Callithrix jacchus: one gene and its partner. The protein of the gene in region 1 purifies or fractionates together with the protein of each later gene. This does not show direct contact. Links are inferred from orthologs where the notes say so. Each region holds a gene or a part of one and is shown on either strand. Other genes may lie near its edges.

What was found.
Region 2: the proteins of EPC2 (region 1) and MBTD1 purify together in Homo sapiens (affinity purification with mass spectrometry; 3 studies listed by BioGRID and IntAct, with this or other methods). This does not show direct contact. The link is inferred for Callithrix jacchus from reciprocal best matches to the Homo sapiens genes EPC2 and MBTD1.

What each region holds. Positions count from the first base shown.
Region 1 is NC_133507.1:81,631,746-81,635,557, reverse strand, and holds part of EPC2 (enhancer of polycomb homolog 2), read left to right. Parts: intron 1-987; coding exon 988-1,077; intron 1,078-2,613; coding exon 2,614-2,759; intron 2,760-2,865; coding exon 2,866-3,209; intron 3,210-3,812. UniProt on the Homo sapiens protein: May play a role in transcription or DNA repair.
Region 2 is NC_133506.1:115,118,130-115,122,641, forward strand, and holds the start of MBTD1 (MBT domain-containing protein 1), read left to right. Parts: upstream 1-1,405; 5' UTR 1,406-1,431; coding exon of another isoform or gene 1,432-1,773; 5' UTR 1,774-2,100; coding exon 2,101-2,238; intron 2,239-2,284; exon of another isoform or gene 2,285-2,501; coding exon of another isoform or gene 2,502-2,522; intron 2,523-2,754; exon of another isoform or gene 2,755-2,996; intron 2,997-3,156; exon of another isoform or gene 3,157-3,220; intron 3,221-4,512. Other genes in the region: UTP18 (U3 small nucleolar RNA-associated protein 18 homolog), read right to left, coding at 1,432-1,773. UniProt on the Homo sapiens protein: Chromatin reader component of the NuA4 histone acetyltransferase complex, a multiprotein complex involved in transcriptional activation of select genes principally by acetylation of nucleosomal histones H4 and H2A.

The DNA of each region.
Region 1 (3,812 bases):
TGAGGTTCAGGAATTTGCGAGTAAATGTGGTTGAGCCAGCGTTTGTCAGAAAGAGATGTACTACAAAGCAAAAGTGCAAGACAACTGAAATTTAAATACCAAAACTTTTTTAAAAATTTTAACCGTTATGAGTGGAAATTTATCTAAAACATATTATTTCCCTGCCATTGGTATATCTGTATATTATTTAATTTGTTTTTATGACATTTATAATAAAGTGCCCTCTAATGGGTCAGTGCGACTGCCCTAGAGGTCCACTCAATTACATAGGGATATTTGGCCTGATATGACATGGTCTGGGCACAGTGCTTTCTAATAATGTGACAGCTTTCTGAAAGTCTTTATTCTTTTTCTTTAGGGTAGTTGGCTTATCACATCTTTGTAACCAATCTACTTACCTTAGCAAGTTTTCTTTTCTCTTCTGATTTTCTGCTTCTGGTCTATTAAGTTTACAAAATAATTTTTAGGAAATGAGTGGGGAGATAAAAGACTTTTCTTTGAGTAAAATCTGACCTTTATGACTTTGGTTTTTTTGTTGTGGTGGTTTCTTTGGGCTATTTATAAGCTGTTTTTACATCCTAGTTTTTGGCTTTATTACAGAGAGATAAAGTTATTGAATAAAAATAAACTTACCTATAGGTGAAATATAACTGTCATCATTAAATATTTATAGCCACATACATTATTACATTATTTATAAAATATAGTGGGATGTATACAAACTATATTAATTCTAAGTCAGTAGCATTTCATGTTTAGAAGCAATCAAGCAATGCCAGGTACAGTTAACCTCTAAGAACTAATCCATTAAAAATAAGGATTTTTAGCCATAGAACATTTTTACTAGTCATTGAATGTTTTGGGGAATTCAGCACCTACTATATATAATATAGAAGTGATTTACTGTTTGTGATCAGATTTAAATTTTACAGCATTACAAACATTGATCTTTTGATAACTCATAAATGGAATGCCTTTTTTGTCTAGGTATTGTCCCCAGTATCAGAACCAGAAGAAGAAAATGATCCTGATGGTCCCTGTGCTTTCAGAAGGCGGGCAGGATGCCAATATTATGCTGTAAGAACTTTTTTGTGTGTGTGGTGTTTTTGTGAACTGGAATTAACAGGTAACCCATGTCAAGATGACTTAGTCTTGATCTAAAAATGGGAAGTGCATCAGTACTTTTTATTTAACATCCTTTATGTGGATACTGGTAAAAGATGCTTAAAAGGTACTGAGTCCTTTCAAAGGGTATTGAAATCCTCTTAGAAATTGATAATTCCTCACATTTTAGAAATTTAGTTTCATTTTGGGCTCTAATTATAACTTCAGCAGTTGTGAAAATTACTTGGTATGTCATTACTAGAATTAGGAAAACCCAGAATTTGTAAGTTGAGTCTAGAACCTTTGATGGCTGCTAGGTGATTACTGAAATTTATTGTTATGTAAGCCCATCTTGTGCATACATACCAATAAGTATCAAACAAAGTAATAATTTTTGAACTTTCCTAATGGCGATGTTTTGTCTAAAAATTGTGGTGGTGGCTTTTTTGGGCTATTTATAAGCTGTTTTAACACACATAGAAGTTGCTTTATGCTATGAAGTCAAATTATATCACTCTCCAAGGTTCTTAGATGAAGTGTAATGTAGCCTTGTAAGGATGGCTTTGGCTTTCTTATATGGCTTGTAGAGATCATATATCTTATAACATGATGGTAAACATACACTGACAACTTTTTTAGGGTGTGTAAATTTAGAAGAGGTGATTTGTCTACTGGTTATGCTGATGAGAGAAAGGAAAATTCTTAAGAAAAGGGACAGACATAGCATGACAGAATGATGGAGGGAATGGGAAGGCAGGGAACAGGCTGTTTGTATGTATATGTGTGTGTATGTATGTATGTATTTATGAGAAAGAGTCTTGCTCTGTCACTCAAGTTGGAGTACAGTGGTGCAGTCATACAGTTCACTGTAACTTTAAACTCATAGGTTCAAGCAGTCCTCCCACCTCAGCCTCCTGGGATTACAGGCACACACAACCACATGCTGTTAATTTATGTATTTTTCTGTAGAGACAGGGTCCTGCTACATTGCCCAGGCTGATCTTGAACTCCTGATCTCTAGTAATCCTCTTGTCTTGGCCTCCTAAAGTGCTAGGATTACAGGCATGAGCCACTGTGTTCCACTTGGTTGTATGTTTCTTAAAAATGAAGAGGAAGCTTCAGTTTGACCCCATAAGTGTTTGAAGTGCGATTTTTAGTCCAAAAAATATTCTTTCTGGTTCTCAGTAGAAAACCTAAAAATTACTCTGTAATTTCACCATTTCTACTTTGTACGCAAATGTTAAAAGCTGTATTATTTTAAAGATATATTCCTTTTTAAGCATAATTGACCCTAAATGAATTTATAAACTAAATTCAGTTTGGGTAATCTTGGGTAATCTTGGTTAGTGAACTTTTGATTCGGTTTTATAAAATTTAACCTGATTAATAGTTTCATGTCGAAATTTTAATTGTTCCGCTAATGTTGCAGTTGCTTCATTTTTATCATGATCTAACCTGTCTTCATTTCAGATTTATTCCATGGGTTTTTCTTTCTTTCTTTATTTGCAGCCTCGTTTGGACCAAGCTAACCATTCATGTGAAAATTCAGAATTGGCAGATTTGGATAAGTTGAGGTATAGGCATTGCCTTACAACACTTACAGTCCCGAGAAGATGTATAGGATTTGCAAGGAGGCGAATTGGCAGGGGTGGAAGGTGAAGTATTTGTTTTCACCTGGTTTTTGTTTACGATATGGAACAGAAGACCAAGAGAAAATGTTAAGCTCTGTCAGTTAATATTTGGTTTTATTTTGCTTTTCAGGGTCATAATGGACCGAATATCCACAGAACATGACCCAGTCCTGAAACAGATAGACCCTGAAATGCTGAATAGTTTTTCAAGCTCTTCCCAAACTACAGACTTTTCTTCTAATTTCTCTCGGACCAATGCTTCTAGTAAACATTGTGAAAATAGACTGTCCCTTTCTGAAATATTAAGCAATATCAGATCATGTCGACTACAGTGTTTCCAGCCAAGGCTACTAAATTTACAGGACAGTGATAGTGAAGAGTGTACCTCAAGAAAACCAGGGCAGACTGTGAACAATAAAAGAGTTTCTGCGGCATCTCTAGCTTTATTGAACACCAGCAAGAATGGCATATCAGGTAAGCTGTTGCTGTGTTAAAAGTATATCCTGCTATTCTTTTCCACTTAATTTTATTATCTACTAAATAAATTCTCAGGGTAAAATTTGAAGATTTATTTTCCCACTTAGGAAAGGAATTTTATCTTTACTACATTTTTTTTTCCAACCTAGAAACCAAATTGTACTGTTGTGCCTCACATTTTAACCAAATTGCCCTAACCAGTGCTGTAAAACCAGTGACATCTATTTTGAGTGTGTGCCTGGTATGATCAATGTAGGCAGAATGCATACAGTGTTTCCCTATGGGCACCCTGCTTATAAGCTGCCACTAGATCATCACAGCATAGTACTATCTGGTGCTTATGTTAAAGGTAGTTTTCATTTTGGTGTGTTGAACTTTGATTAAATGTAACTATTGCTTCTTGAGAGTACCTTTGAAAACACTTTCTGAAAATGATTTTTAGAAGACTCTATGAATAATTTTTTTTTTAAGATGGGGTCTCACTCTGTCGCCCAGTCTGGAGTATAGTGGCATGATCTCAGCTCACTGCAACTTCCACCTCCTGGGTTCAAGCGATTCTCCTGCCTCAGCCTCACCAATAGCTGGGACTATAAGTGCGCA
Region 2 (4,512 bases), on another chromosome or scaffold:
GGATCAATTGAGCCTAGGAGGATGAAGCTGCCTTCTGAGCTTACTTTAAAGCGTTGTGCAGATATAATTATCTGTGACGAACAGGAAGAGCAACCAGTTACTATTAGCATAAGAGAGCTGGAAGACTAATTGGGGCTGCTGCACTCCAGTCTGGGTGACAGGGTGAGACTATATCATTAAATAACTAGTAAATACGTTTATAACATCAAATCTAAATTATAAAATTATGAATTTATACCATAAAGTTATACTATCAAATCTAAACCTAGACCACAGAACATCCCTTGAAGTGAGCTTGAGCTTCCCAAAACCACGATAGAAATGTCCAAGTGATTTCTACTTGCTCTACTACCAGTCTACGTGCCTTCAAACCCAACAGCGCCCACCTCAGTACACTGGTCCTTTTCCAGACGACAAAGCTGTCACAGTTCAGCATTTTTCCAGTGGTAGTTCTCTACTTCCCAAATAGATGGCTGCCACTTCTCCCACAAGCACCCAAAGGAGGCTCTGATAAGCAGCTGACATTAGCTAGGTCAGCATTCGTGTAATAAACATGGACTGGGTAATTCTCAGTGAGCTTTCCTCGGCCCCCGCCATCTAAAATTTAACAGGCCTCCTCTACACAAGCTCATCCTGCTTTCCCGAATGTCCTTTTTTCTCTTCAGCACTTGTCACCAACAAACCTGAAGTTTACTCATTTATTTCATCTATCTTGTCTCTGCCACTAGCATACAAGCTCCAAAAGGGCAGGGTTTTTGGCAGTTTCGTCCATTGCTGTGTCTCCTCCAGTGCCTCGAACAATGTCTGGGATTCTATCTCTCAAGAAAAGCCAGATATAGAACTAAAGGAATGGCAAAATGTGTGCAAAAAGTAAGATCAATCACGCAGCGTTTGCCATTGCCAGATTGGGTATCTGGCAACAAACAGGTTCACCAATATTTTGCTAAATGGACGAATACACGATCAGTCTCAAAAGACGGTGTGTCTCATTGTCACATGGGGAAGATAGTTAAAACCCAGATAGATGCCCAGGCCCGTGCCAACTAACTGATTCCATTAGCCAAATGGAATTTCTGAATCACAAGGAATTGAGGCAGGTGATCAAACGACCAGGCTCAGTTTGGGGAGAGACTAGAGGAGCGGAGCAGCAGCGAAAGATGCTCAAGACCACAGTTCGCAAAGCGGATACCCGAAGAGCGGCGCCTCCGGGGGCGGAGAAAGGCGCGGTCCCCGCCCTCCAGAGACTTTCAGTCCAGCGCTGGGAGGCGAGGGACCCGCAGCTGCGACCCTCGGCACCCGCGTTCTCGGGCTCCCTCCCACCTGAGCGCTCCCCGCCGGCGCAGGTCGCCCAGGCTCCGCCCCCCGGAGCTTCACCGCCCACCGCGCGCCCCGCCCCAGCGCGCCCAGACCGCGCGCCGCGGCCTCCCTCACCCGCCGGCCTCGCAGACGCCGCAGCAGCTCGTCCTCGTCGTCCTCGACTTCGCCGAAGACCAGCTCCTCCAGGCACCGCTCCACGGCCGGTTTGTCCTCCTCCAGCGTCAGACGGTTCCGCTGCCGAAGCCGTCTCTCCTCCTCGGCCGCCGCGACTGCGATTGCAGCGGCGGCCGCGCTCGGCCGAGCCGGCGGTTTCCGCTGGGATGAACGGGCAGCCTTTTGGGGCGGCCCGCCCGGTCCGGCTCTCGCTTTCCAATCTGGCCTCGTTCCGGGCTTCCGCTTCGGCTTTGCTCCTGTTCTCCGATCCAGTTTCATTCGTTTCCTCCGTTCCGGCGGCATCCTTGGGTTTGAGGAGAAACGCAGGCGCTCACGTGGAACCTCGCTGCGCATGCGCCCAGGCGACTCTCTGTCCGCCGCCGCCGGAGCCCCGGGGGCTGGAAGGAGCCTGCGCAGCCCCTTGCCACGTGACCAACACTCCCTCCCTCTACGTAACTCCCGCTCCCCTAGCCGGCCCCGCCCCGTGTGGGAGTTCCTCCGGGAGGTCCAATCTTCCGGGTGTAGAGGGAAGCGGCGTGACTGGAGTGGAAAATTTTTCCAACACAACTTCGCAGCTGCAACATATTGAAAGGAGCTCAAGAAAGCCCAATTATACACTGGGACGACTGAATGAAACTTCTACTTTTCCTCCTGACTTTAATCACTGGACTTGACACAAGCCTCGATAAGCTTTCCACCCTTCGTCTTGGTACGGTCCGTGGAGTACGGAGCCTGCCGAGGGTCCCACGCTGGAAGCGAGAGAGGAGGGTATGTAGGGAAGTGGGCCAATCGGGGCGCGGGTCACGGCGCAGGCGCGCTGGGGAGGGAGGGCTATGCTAATGTTGTTGATATCCTGGGGCCACCCGAGTTAAAGGGGGGAAATCCGGGGGCTGCCGCAGCCGCCACCGGTCTGGACCCAGCCGGGGGCCCCCTGTATCGCCGCAGTCCCGGGGAGAGGCACCTGCCCCCAGCCCTGGGAGGGGGCGCCGCGGGCTCGGGGAGCACGGACAACCCCTACCCATGAGGCCCTGATGGAAAACACAAAGGATCTGGTGAGAGCCGAGCGCGGCAGCCGCTTTGTGTGCCAGGTCGGGGGGACGCCTGCAGCTCCCCGACCCCAGGAACCCCGCAGCTCCCTGACCCCGCTCCCTGGCCTGCTTCTCCATCCCACGCCCCCTCAACCTCTGGAGTCCCCCTCCCCCTTCCAGCCGTTAAACGATTCAGGGGTTCCCCTCCCCCCACCCCCTCAGCCCCGGACTCGTTGGGGTTCTCTCCATTTCCTCCACCCTCTGGAAGAAAATTTTGAGAAGAAAGTTTTTCTCTGTGTCCCGCCCCCGTCCCCGTCCCCTGCTCTGGCTAGGGGAGAAAGGCTGGATCTGAGACTTTTCCTTTTTTAGCCACCCTGGGTGGGAGAGTGTAGTAGTCCTCACTTCTTTGGAAGGAGGGCGAGCATAGTTTTGGTGCTTTGCAGGGGAAGGTGTCTATCCGCCTTGGGGCCAGTGCCGCGAGGCAATTTGCACGTGGAGGTGGAAATATTGAAAGGGGGCGGGGTGGGCACGTGCGGGAGAGGTGGGAGTGGTGTTTGGGAATCAGCCTCCAAGGCTGCGTATTTAAAAGGGTTCCCAGTCAGTGGGCTTCTATGATTATTGCGTTCTCCTTTGTGAAATAAGAATCCTAACATTTCAGAGTCGGAAGAGACATTAGAGGTCATCCAAAGCAGCCGTTCCCTCTGCAGCCTCTCTGACAAGTGGTAGGTAGCCTGGCCCCTGCTTAAACCCCTAAAAGCACTGAGCGCTCACTACTGCCCGGGAAAGCCCATTTTTCAGTAGTTCTAATTGTTGTTTGCCTACCCTTGTTAGACCCTTCAGTCTCATTCATGTCCTGGTTAAGTTGCTCCTTTTTTTACTTCTCAAATTTTCTCTCACATCCTCCTCACCCACCCACTGCTCATTGGCCTATATTTTGTGTGCCAGGAAAGAACAGCAGGGAAGTGGAGGAAGAGGGGGGCTGAGAGATAGTGAGGGCCAGCCGAAAACTTTGCAGGGTCAGTGTCAAATGTGCTGGCTTACATGCCTAAAGATGATATTTTTCTACAGGAAGCTAGAGAATTAGAATATGGGAATTTCGTGTCTGTTTTCTCTCACTAGTGCATCTTTTTGAAGTTAGAAATTTCAACATTATCTCCGTAGTTCTTGTATCACAAAGCACATTTGCTTGTTTCCTAAATCACTTCTAAGGATGTCTAAAATTGCCTGTTAAGGATAGTACTGAAGCATCACCTGGTAGAGGGGATGATTAGAAGAACTACCGCCTCCACTCATTTGACCTGTGTTCCTTGGAAGCTGGTCTTTCCTCCAAGGGCCCCTCTTCCAAATGCTTTTACTCTTCGTTTTTTTTCAACTCTCTCTATTATGAGATTTGAAATTTATGGACCATTTTAATACTTGTTTAGAGTTTACAGTATTTCAATTCTCCTTTCCTTATACTCACATGCACCAGTATTTATCAGTGGGTGGTTGAGACAGTTCCGTTGAAACTATTGTCACTGGACGTTTTTCTAACATACTTCTTCATTTGATGAGCCATGCTGCCTCCAAAAGTAGTTGTGTTGGCTTAAGAATCTTGGATGTACTTGTTTCTCTCTAATATAGTCAAGTGGGGGTCAAGACATAATAGATACGGTGTAGAAATAATGCCTCTGATCTAAAAGCCAGCAAATAAATTACACCTTAAGCCCCAGTCTCCTGTTTCAAAGGTTAAACTCGATTTTTCTCTCCTCCTTTTATAACTTAGAGACTGTTGCTTTGCTCTTGTGTTAGGCTGTTATTTTATTTTTCATTTGTTTACCTCAACACCAAAGAGTGTTCAGAAAGAAATGATCTTTTTTTTTTCTTTGCACTACCTCCTTCTCTGAATAACAGGTAGCTTCTATTTATATAGAACACCATACTGAATGCTTGCGAGTACCTTGCAAATTATGGCAACATCTGTCTTGAATAAGTATTTGTCCATAGTGCCTTACGTTGGGTCATGTTTTTTAAC